2 linked regions of the Drosophila melanogaster genome follow. The gene in region 1 interacts genetically with each later gene. Each region holds a gene or a part of one and is shown on either strand. Other genes may lie near its edges. The genes, in order: klu and Apc2.

The links.
Region 2: of klu (region 1) and Apc2, changing one suppresses a phenotype caused by changing the other (phenotypic suppression), as found in Drosophila melanogaster (one study listed by BioGRID).

The regions. Positions count from the first base shown.
Region 1 is NT_037436.4:11,005,974-11,010,924, reverse strand, and holds the start of klu (klumpfuss), read left to right. Parts: upstream 1-1,736; 5' UTR 1,737-2,575; intron 2,576-4,951.
Region 2 is NT_033777.3:24,162,168-24,169,062, reverse strand, and holds Apc2 (adenomatous polyposis coli 2), read right to left. Parts: upstream 5,098-6,895; 5' UTR 4,890-5,097; coding exon 4,254-4,889; intron 4,191-4,253; coding exon 1,977-4,190; intron 1,780-1,976; coding exon 1,426-1,779; 3' UTR 1,126-1,425; coding exon of another isoform or gene 919-1,125; 3' UTR 799-918; downstream 1-798. Other genes in the region: CG5510 (uncharacterized protein), read left to right, coding at 9-206, 260-589, 919-1,125; mRpS24 (mitochondrial ribosomal protein S24), read left to right, coding at 5,578-5,595, 5,656-5,845, 5,903-6,192; TBC1d7 (TBC1 domain family member 7), read right to left, coding at 6,237-6,323, 6,380-6,611, 6,672-6,895.

The sequences.
Region 1 (4,951 bases):
GAAATATACGTGCATATGTATAATACCAATAAGCATGTGGCATATAACTTATAGCCAAACACCTACGTTCACTTTTGGCTCTTTGCAGTGCTTCTCTTTTTTGAAAGACCCACGAATTTTGTACGAATCGCGTAAACGCGTTTATTTTCCCTGCCCACAATCACACACACACACACTTAGAGATAGTGGTGTGGGTTGAGTATCTGCGTGTGCGTGTGTGTGTGAGTGCGCCACTATTCGTTCATTCACAAATTGTGTTGTTGCTGCCTTGGCATGCTTTTGCTTTGTTTTTTCTTTTTTTTGGTTTTTTCTCAATTCAGTTTTGTTTTGTAAACACACACATACACACCTGGATGGAGGCGCACACAGATACACTGACACCTCGGCAGCTGCGCCACACACACAACCGCACACACGGTGTGCAAAGAGAGAGAGAGCGCGCTCTCTCTCTCTCTCGTGCATCGGCATTTCAAGTTCAGATATCGTATCTGTGAAGTTGTTTTGCCGGCATTTCGATTCTCACGAGCGCAGAGAGAGAGACCGAAACTGTATCTGTGTGCGAGCGAAACGTGTGTGTGGTATAGGTGAGAGAGTTTATCCGACGATTTTATCCGGGCCTTCAATGCGGCTCAAAATCAGTCAACTGCGATTTTCTTATAATGCAAGTTGGCTTATATGCATGTTAGACAAAAATAACTTCATGGGTACAAATGAAAGTCTAAAATTAAACAAATATATATTTTAGATCATTTTGTAGCGCTTTAATTTTTTTGCGAAGTTAAACAAAAAAGAGTTCCAATTAAGAATATTATATTATTTTTAAAAGAAAATAAGTTCAAAGCCAAGAATTATTAAAAACTAGACTAATTAAATTTCAATCAAAAAGTATTGAATTTACATTTTTGCTTTAGAGAATGTTTGAGTTTTAAACTGTAACTAAAAACGCTGCTATTACTATTTGTAAAACATTTTAATAAATTATATATTTGAAATTGTTTTGTAATTGTTTCTAAGATTAGAAGGCCCTTAAAGTCGATAAAGTACTAAACGCATAAATCAAAATTTTTTGGCTTCTGAGCAATGTAAGTTTAGTTTAGTTTAGAACTCAAATGAAAATGAAATGCTGTATTAAGAAGAAAGGGCTCAATTAAGTGACATATATTGCTCGAAGGATGCGAAAAGTGACCTAAAAGCCGGCCAACTTCCCAAAGGATTCAACGAGCGCTGCTTCTATTTGCCTTCGCCTTCTGCAAGACAGTGGAAAAGACATCCGCTTGGATTCGGATTTCGTTAGCTTATCTTCGCATTCGATGTTATATAACGCCAGTCGGTGGAAGTGGGAGGTGCCTATTCGGAGCTCGACTCGCAACTGGCGACCCAAAAGCGCCAAATGCAGCCGAGTGCCCCCATTGGCATAGAGTTTTGAGCAATTAGAAGCCCACGCAGCCATAAACAACAACTGCTCGGGCGGGCGGAGAGTGGGAGGAGAAGCTCTTCGAGCAGCTCCCACCGAGAAAAGCGGAACACAAAAAAAAAAAAAAGAACTAGAGAAATCTCCACTGCACGTGCTGCTCTTTCTCGCTCTCTCGCGACTTTATCCGGCGAATGAGAGGCCAACAGTCGGCACTAACACACAGATACCGCCGCCTGTTTGCCTCGGTGTGGGTGTCTCTCGGTGCGATGGTATTGGTGCCTGGTATCGTCGCTGTACGAGTGGCGACTCTACTCAGAAGTCAGTTTCTTGCTGGGCAGTGTCGGTTCAGGTTCATCGACGCTCCGCACGCGCTGCCGCAAATTCTTCAGTGCTGAATAACCAAGACGCGTCTTTTTCGGACCCAAAAAAAAAGAAAAATATATAGAAAATATATCCGAACGTAACGTAATCTTCGCAGTGCGCTTACAGACTCCCCCTCCAACCCGCCACACAAAAAACTCTCTTTCTCTCTCTCTCCGCGAAGAGAGTTTCAGTGGTTGGTTTGGATAGGTCTTGGTGGTTCGGTGTTGCCGTCGCTGCTGCCGAAGCTCTGCCGACGCCGACGACGACGCCACGTCGGGAAAACCAACCTCTTGCAGTGAAAATCTTTTCGTACGTTTTCGTTATTTGTTATTCGCACGTTGACGCGACGAGACCGCGAAACACGACAGCACGAAACTGCAGCCCAAAACTGCAACTGCAACTGCAACTGCAACAATAACGATCGCGCGTGCAACAACAGCAATTCGAAATCTAATAGTGGCAAGCTGCAAAGTATCTAAACGCCTAGAAATCCGTAAACTAAACTCGCCAAATCATTTAAAATCAAGTGAAAAGTGTGTGTCTTAACAGCCCATTAAGTAATATAAATCAATTAAAGCCGCAAAACACACAATAAGCCAAACACGCAAACGCAGCATAAGCACAAATAATACATAAAAATAAAAGAAGTGTGATATTTTGATATTAGCAATTAGAGTTTACACAACGCAGCCTAAAAAATATTTGTTAAATGTGTTTTGCCACCCCGAAGGCAAAAGCTACAAATTGGATAATGCTTGGATAATTCCCCTCCTACAAAAAAAAAAAAAAAAATTAAAGGTGAGTTCGCGAGATCGCTCAATTTGCCGACGGCTTAGTCATTTGGACAGCCGAAAGAAAAAAAACTATAAAGTGCCATCTCAGCTGTGCTGTTTGGTTGGTCGAAATGTGTCAAAAGCTGAGCTCCAGTTACGAATAGGATCGGTTTACCATAACACTCAGCGTAATATCAGATCGGCGGCTATATGCTATATACATATGTACATATGTATGTGTGTGCTGCAATCGATTGCACCCATGAATGATGGACTGATGATGAGTCCATATCAGCACGGGCCCCCTCCAGTGGCATCATCCACATCATCATCATCATCATCATCATCATCATCCCAATCTCATCTCACTCCCATGCCATATTGACTCTATCTATATTGACGTCAATCGCAGCAGCAACTTGACATCGCCGATCTGCAGATCGTGTGCCTGGCAAATTGACGCACACAAAAGCGAGTGAGATAGAGAGCCTGGTAGAAAGATAGTACTAGGACCCTTAGCCCCAGTTTCCTCACATCCAGTTGCAGCTCCAGATTCCCACTTCCAGTTTTAGCCAGTCTCGGGGAATTTTAATTGCCCATCTTGGCCAAAAGCAGAGCTGGGCTGCACTCCCTCTCTCTATCTCTCTCTCTCTCTCTCTCTATGTGAACTATGCCAATTGTCTACACCTGAGCCGAAGAACTGCCCGTCTGGCTGACAAATTTGTATGCACGCGCTTCAAAAGTGCAATATTAATTAATTCCAGCAACTCGAGACACGGGCAGCAACAACATCAACTGATCTGTATGCAACAGAAGTTGCAAGTTGCTAGTTGCTAGTTGCTTGTTGCAAGTTGCTGGTTGCTAGCGGTTGCTACTTAGTCGAGGCAATTAAATCGTATGTCATTCATTGGTAATTTATACCATTTACAGGCATCTGCTCGATGTGGTTGGTTCCTTAAACAACAGTTCTGCGATAATAGCTCCGCGATGTTTTACACTTGCCCATTAGCATAGATTACTGCATCAAGTGCTGGACCAAAATCCGTTTGCTTTGCTTTTGACCTGTCTGGCAAACGCCAAACGCCAATAGCCACAACGCTTGATCGATCGCTCTAAACCGATTTCGATTCCGATCCGATCCGATCCGATCGGCGATAAATGCAACTTGCCATGAAAAGTGCTGCCTTAAATGGGCATTAGGCTATTGCACATTTCTCAATATGTCGAGTGATTTTTTCTCTGCTCCTCCAACGCGGCTGACTTATACGCACCGCACCTTATATGACGAACGGCGACGTCTGCCGCTGTCCCACTGCATTTGGCATATAAAACAGACGGAGCCACTCGGTGGCTTCCATCGGTGGTGCAGTTGGGGGGCAATGGTGGCGATGGTGTCTCAGGTGGTTCGCTGGTTGGAGTCTCACCCGCACGACGCCATTTCTCAGACCCCGATGTCAATGGCAATTTGCATTTTCCACACAAAAGCACCTAGGTGCTCCTGGTGGCGGCTCCCTTCCCTAGAAACAGGGCGGAATAAAAAAAAAAAAAGAAAATAACGCCATATATACTGTGTTTGGTCGAGTTAAGGTCCCTGGTTCAGTGGTTAATTTATTTCTGACACAGCCTTAAATTAACAATTTTAATACAAACAACAAAAGAGCGCGCATTGAAATTGAGACGTTGAGCGAAATACAAAAAAAAAACACAAAAAAACTCAGAAAAAATACAAAATAAAATAAAAAACAGTGAAAATGCACACAATAAAGGGAAAAAAAACAAAAAGCTTAAAAGGAAAAAACATAAAATAAATTTACAGCAAAACAAAAGCGTGTTACAGAACAAAGGAGACGATTTTGGGGAGCAGTGAAAGAGGAATGTGTAAAGTGAAATAAAATTCTGGCGCGTTAATTAACTTTAAACGATTGAAAACGAATTGATTTGGAGAAGCCATTTGATTTGGATTAGTCGTGCCCGATTCAGAAAAAATGCCACAAAAGGTTGTGGAGGTGGACCCCCAGCTCAAAGGGGTCACAGCTTTTGGCCAAGCTGCTGGGCTGAAAATTAAAATTCAATCATCACGTGTGCGTTAAAAGAGACACACCATCGGCCATCTAACAATCAGACAGATCATTGGAGTTGTTAATTGAAATGCGTTAAACAATAAAACAAAGACTGTCATGTCTGTCACAGTTGCCAAGTGACTTAACACCTTTGGGATCTGCGGTTAATGCCGATCCCCGACAACGGTGTGGATACTTCGACATCTGATAGGGCCACATCGGAATCGGAACCCTGGACATGCGTCGTTATCATGCATTTGATAAACGTTTTGTTTTTCATTAGAGCCTCGCCGCGGAGGAGGAGATATCAAAGATGCGCTCCTATCCGATCACAACCCTTT
Region 2 (6,895 bases), on another chromosome or scaffold:
ATCCAAAGCCCGTGATGACTCGCAATTGGGAAGTGCACGTTGGCTTTAAGGTGCACGGCAAGGGAACTGAACTGTTCGGCGACGGATTTGCCATTTGGTACACAAAGGAGCGCATGCAAACCGGGCCGGTCTTTGGCAGCAAGGATCACTTCTCCGGACTGGCCATCATTCTGGACACCTATAGCAATCACAATGGTCCACACAACGTATGTCATTACGCAAGGCATTGAATGTAAATGTATTAACATTATATTTGTAGCACCAACATCCATATCTCAGCGCCATGGTGAACAATGGCAGCTGGAGCTACGACCACGATCGCGATGGAACGCACACTCAGCTGGCCGGCTGCGAAGTTCGTTTCCGCAATGTGGAGTACGAGACGCTGGTTAGCATTCGATACGAAAACGACATTCTGTCGGTTTCCACAGATCTGGAGAACCGCAACGAATGGAAGAACTGCTTTGTAGTGGCCAACGTTGAGCTACCCACGGGCTACCACTTCGGCATGTCTGCGACGACGGGTGATCTGTCCGACAATCACGATATTCACAGTTTCAAGTTCTATGACCTGGACTTGAACGTAAATGTAAGTTCACTTTTGTTTGCCAAACTTCGGAAGCGAAGTAAGCATTACTCAGCTGTCTGCTATTTGGCTAACGCGATAAGGAGTGCAAGGAACCCAAAAGCGGACTTAAGTTTCAATAACTGCGTATACGTATAAAGAAAAAAGAGTGAACTTGTTTTTAATTGCTGCAACTTGTAATAATTAAGCAGCTGGCTTTAAACACATTGTTTGATGCCTAATCATGTTTATCTTTATAAGCCGTGTGTTATAATATTTATATCATATTACTGAAAACCAGTTTTACTTTCTTGTTGCAATAACCATCTTTTTACTTTCTTTCTTGTTCGCAGCACGATGAGATTATCCGGCGCTCCAATATCATACCGAATGCCAAGACATTCGAGCCCCCGCGCGAGCACAAAGAAGATCCCAAGCCGGGAATGTCCAACGCCAAGATCTTCTTCATCCTTCTCTTCGTGGTTGTCGTGGCGGCTGCAGTGGCCATCTTCGCCATCTCCTACTTCAAGGATCGCAACGCGCGAAAACGTTTCTACTGAGCTCTCTAGCTAGTTCATCACAGTAGCATCATGTTAGGAGTTACCCGGACCTCAGTTGATCGCAACTTTTATTTATATTTATACCGCGACTGTATCCCATTTCTTATCACCCTTTTTAGTTTCCTTAATTGTTTAGTGAGAGGGTAAACATAATATTACACGTGTTGGAGAGTTAAATTTAAGTGCAAATTTTTAATCTGAACTATAGGAAAATTGAGACCGTGAGAATATTATTGCGTAGACAAGATTAAAAGCCACTAAACAAATGCATGCGCTTCTCAATTAACCAACCATCCGCTTCTAGTGCTGACGCCCAGCCAACATGGACTCAATCTGGCGCACCTGGTTACTGACAAATCGATCCCGGGCACTGATCTCCTGGCGCTGCCCCGGCGGCTCACCCTCCGACTCCAAGGCGTCGTTGGACTTATGCATGCCGCTCAGAATGCACTGCTCAAATAGCGACTTGGACCGTGCATCATCGTCGTCGTCGTCTAGCGAGTCATCTGAGCTGTAGTTCGGCTTATCGCCATGCTCCACCTGCTTCTTTGACTGCCCATTTTCCCTGCATAGAGTGCTGGTACTAGCGTTCGCCAGGCTGGAGCTGGTACTGGCACCGCTGGGCTGAGGTCGACAACTTCCCGCAGCAATGGCCTATAAAAAGAGGGAACAACTTTAATATTTCTGATTTTAGCGAGAATTTTCTGACTGCATTTTAAATTTAACTTTTGTGAAATATCAACATTCCGATTGCTAAATCTACAAAGACACTTATTTTTGAGTGAGTCTCTCACAAAATGTTTATATGGTGAAATATATCAAGTGTTTTGAATGAAGTATCCTTTTCTCACCTGACTTAGAAGATTACAGTCGTCATCCGAGTCCATGGACAATGAGCTCAGTGAGTCGCTTTTCTTCGGCGGTAAGCGTGGCTCCGCATCTCCTTGAACGGCACTACGTCTGGGAGGAAGTTTGGGTGCCTGAGCCTCTTCTGCAGTCCTCATTGGCAGCTTCAGAACAGGCCCAGCCTTAGCAGAGCCAACAGTGAGATGGGATAGTCCCGAGATGACCGAAAACGTGCAGGGACTGTCCTCGACATAGTACTTGCTCATTTCATCCGACACTGGCAGATAACTGGGCAATGCATTGCCACCGCAGCGCATCTTAGAGATTGCATCTTCTGCCGGCATCCGAGTGTCCATTCCGGTAACATCAGCTCGCGGAGCAGGCACTGGCTGCGCTTCATTCGCATTTAGATCATTCGGGATGGACAAAATGGACAGATCACTATTGCTTGGCGCTTTGGAAAGCACGGCAGTAGTGTCCTCTGTGCAATAGCTGCGAGGAGCATCCCCATTGCCGTTGATGTCATTTCCACGCTGTCCTCGAATAGCGTTTGCATTAGAGTCGTCCATCATGCTCAGATTACTTAGACTGGTGGCGCAGGAGAAGGCAGCAGGCGTGTGCTCCACGTGGAATCTGTTCAACTTGTCCTCAAACACAGTACTGGGCTTCTGTTCAGGTGTGTCCAAGTTATTTTGAGTGGACACTTTTCTGTCCCTTCTCGGAGATTGAGGCATACTCTGGGTGGGTGAATCGGGCAGCTCTGAGGGGGAAATAACACCACTCTGCATCCGGCTGTATTCACTGATCACGGATCCATTGTCCTCGCAGGCAACCGTTTCGTCGTCGCCAACCAATGAGTCCATAGAGCTGCGACGCGAAAACATTAATGGAGTTTCTAGTGCGGAATCGATGTTTTGAGGCGTATTTCCGTCAACGTGCACCGGGAGAACCGCAGTTTTCGTTGGAGTTTTTGGCGGCATACATTTCTCCGGTTTCTCTGTGAGGCTGTTGAGCGAGTCGAAGCGACTGAAGCTGCCGGGAGTCCCTTCTTCACAGTAGTTTATTGGTCGCTCTGCCGTTTCCGTCTCCGTTTCGGTGGCAATTTTCTGCTTAGCTGCTGAAACCGCCACCAGGCCAGGACTATTGCGCAGCTCCGTGGCCGAGGAGGACTTTGTCAGTTGCAACTCCTTACTTCTAATCTCATTGGTCTCCGACTTCAGCTCCGGCTGTGCCGTCTGAGCGGATCGTCTCTCCTTATATCTAGCACTGAAATCCGTTGGCTGATCCAAGTCGATCTCAAAGGTCTTACTGCTATTGGGTTTGTGCTCCATGTACTTCATGGAGTAGTCAATGGGCTGCTCTTCAGTGGGTGTCACAATTTCGAAGGGATTCTTCGCTCCCTCCGACTTGGTTGAGTATTTAGTGGAATCGGATTTGCCCGAGTAAATGGACTCTCGGCTCTCACATTTTCTGTTCAGAAAGCCAGTTGTGCTGACTGTTGAGGGTCGCACTTTCTTAAGCGATCCCGTGGGATTTGAGCTTAGGCGCAGTGAGCTGAATCTCCGTGGCAGCGTACCTCCATGGCCAGCTTCCTTGTCTAGTGGCAGTGACCCACCATCTCCATTGGGCATAAGCTCCTGAGTGGCCCTGAAATTAACTAGGTTTTTCAAAGCCGAGGCACTGCCCTCCGCAATCATGGAGTTCTTGGAGCTGATTAGGGCCCGCAAGAGCGGGATGGCATTGTGGTCAATGAGGTATTGCTGGTCCTCGGGACAGCGCGCCGAGAGATTCCACAGAGTTCCGCAGGAGTTGCTTACCACGGTTAGGCTCTCCGATTTCAACTGTTGCAACAGAATGGCAAGGCAATTGTACCGTCTTAGGATTTGTCGGTACGGCTCACACACCGCAATATGGCTCGATACATTTCGAAGAATGCCGCCTGCATTTTCGATGATCTTAAGAGTTTTACTCGGACCCTCGTAGCTAAGCATTCCGACCAAAAATGCCAGTGCTCCGTCTACTGCACAAAACTCCGCCTTGTTGGTGCTGCAGTGCGCTGAGAGATTCCAAAGGGCTGAAAGTATGGCCTTGAGAGTGTTCTCGTTCTTGTTTTGCATGGCTGCTCGAGCCAAGGAGGTCACAGTACCCAGCTCGTTAAAGATAGTCTTCATGTGTTTGTCCGCGCGCCACGAAAGATTGCGAAGCACACCAGCAAGAACCTGATGAGATCAACGGTAATTAAATTACGATCTTTTTTTCTTAATCTCCAAGATTAAACTCACCTGTAGCAGTTCATCCGGAGCCGTGTTCAATTGAGCAATGACCACTTCCATGAACTGTCGCTGACCGCACAGATACGATTTGTTATGGACGTTCTCGTCTCCGAAGGTGAGATTCGTGAGGGCCATGAGGCCGTAGCTCCTGAGGGCGTTGCACTGTTCCCTACCGGCAGCCGGTCCATGGACCGCATGATCAAGGTGGACCAAATTGGGAATCGCCTTGAGGGCTCCCAGTTCGCACATAGTCTGGCGGTGCTCCTCGTCGAAACTGGCTTTCATCAGGAGCTTCATAGCCGCCAGCGGATGACGATCTTCATCATCTGCGATAGCCTCACCGCCGCTCTGCAACTGGGTGTGCAGAAAGTTACAGTAGTCGAGGATCTGGTCCAGCAGGCGCAGCATCTTCACCTCCCGCTGGCGCTCCTTCTCCTCCGGATTATTGTGGACGATGTTGTGCAGCGCCTGGCTGGCGTACTTTTTCGCCGTGGAGAGGCCTTCGTCGTTGGCGTGCAGAATCTGCACCAGAAGCTGGATACAGTCCGAGCTGCGCAGGGCGGTGCATGTTTCCGGATTTCGAGACAGTTCCAGGAAGTTGCGCGTCAGCTCCAGGCGAGTAGCGTCGCTCTCGTTCAGCGTCATTACTTTGAATGTATCCTCACCTATTAGTGCATTCGGATACCAGGGATTCTGGGAATAAACCTTTGCAGCTTTGCTTCTGGATGAGTCCTGTTGCACGGTCGCTTCAACAGGTAGTTCCTTCTGATCTGAGATCCTCGATCTTTGTTTGAGATGGCCTGCGTTTAAGCCATTTTCCAAGCGCGCAGGCTCAGCGCTCCAGTGCTACCGATTAAGCTAATTTATAGCTAGTTCTGCCCAAGTTCAATGATCAGTCAAAGTTCTTTCGAATAAAGGGATTAATACAAAGTTAACTCTATTTATTAAGGAAGCTCTCAAAATGTTGTTTATTTATATATTTTAAATAAGCGTGCAATAATTTTATTACATTACATTATTACATTTTCCCACCGACAACTGTTGACAACTCTGCCCCGCTTTAAAACAAAATAAAAATCGATTTTAATCAATGCAATAGAGATCCAAGTATTGCATTTAAGAACTAAAAAGGGCATTTACACAACTAAAAATTAATCTTTCTGTGTTTTTATTTAACTACTTCCTTCAATGTTGTTTTTTATTTTATAGAAAATATTTTCACTACACAATAATAATATCGAATACTTATCTATAAATTTGTCCATCTCTAGCGAACCGTTACGTCACGTCAATCAGCTGTTGCTGGACGCAAAATTGTTTCTGCCGCAAAATAATGAACTTCTTGAAAAAGGTGTGTTAAATAACAACAAACAGGACAAATTATATATTAAAATAACCTAATCTATTGCAGCTGTTGCCCCAGGTGGCGACCGAGGTGCAGCAGCTCAGCCGGTCAGGATTCCACACCAGCTCCGTGTGCTGTCGCGTGCAATCCGGGCGATACCGCATAACCACAAAGCGAAACAGGCCTCTTACCTACGAGATGGCCAATCCGCCGCATTTTATTGGCCACCGCAAATCGTGGAACTCATGGAACACGTGTAAGTTGTGAGAAAATTTTATTAAGGAAGCATTTTGATGGCCACCTTCTATCTTAGCAACAATGAAGGATGCCCTGCGTCCGTCCCAGACCGCCATAGAGGATGTGTTCATCCGCAAGTTTGTCACCGGCACATGGCATGCCCTCGTCTGCTCCGAGGTCATTATCAAGCGACAGCACAACACCATTAGGATCGCGGCCCTTATTCGGCAGGCGATTACACCGCGAAAAATGTACTTCCTTATTGGTTACACGGAGGAGCTGCTCTCCTATTGGATGCAGTGTCCAGTGACCTTGGAACTGCAAACGGTGGGCGATAAAAAGGACGTGGTCTTCAAATACATTTAGTTCATTCTGCTATATACATGTCCAATATAAAAGTGTAGATTTACTTAGTGCGTGTACTCGACTTCGCTGCTGTTGTTTTGTAGTGATTTGATGGCCTTGTTTACGATAATAACACCGTCAAGATCCTTTACCTAAGGCAAATTTTGGATAAGTTATGGCTTAGCAAATGGTTTCCTTATTTACTTACCGTTTCTATAAGTCTTTTGACGTCTGCTAAAGATGTTTGCTTTAGTATCGAGGACCTTATGTCCTTAACTAGTTCTACAAACAGGAAAACAACAATCTTCCGGGACCCTCCACAGACTTTGTCCCATATCTTGACCAAATGAGTTGTACAGATTATTCCAGCAAAGCAGGTTATATACCAGTTATCCAGTAGCGTTGAGTTGCCATCAAACAGGCCCAGAAGCTCCAGGTGACTATAAGGAGTAATCGAAGAAAATTGGTCAAATAACCCGACTAACCATATGCAAACTCACTTAAGCAAGGACAAATCTTCGCGCTTCAGTATATTCTGCGTTTGCTCCTTCAGCTTGACGCACTCCTTCTTCAGTTCGCGGGTGTACTTGTAGAATCCCTTTGCTATCCAGTAGGTTTCCACGTTGTCGTCGAATATCTGCAGCAACGTGCGCACAATCTCTATGAAGTGCATGTCGTCCGCCTGGAGACTGGCACTAGTATTGCCATGCCACAGTCGATTGGA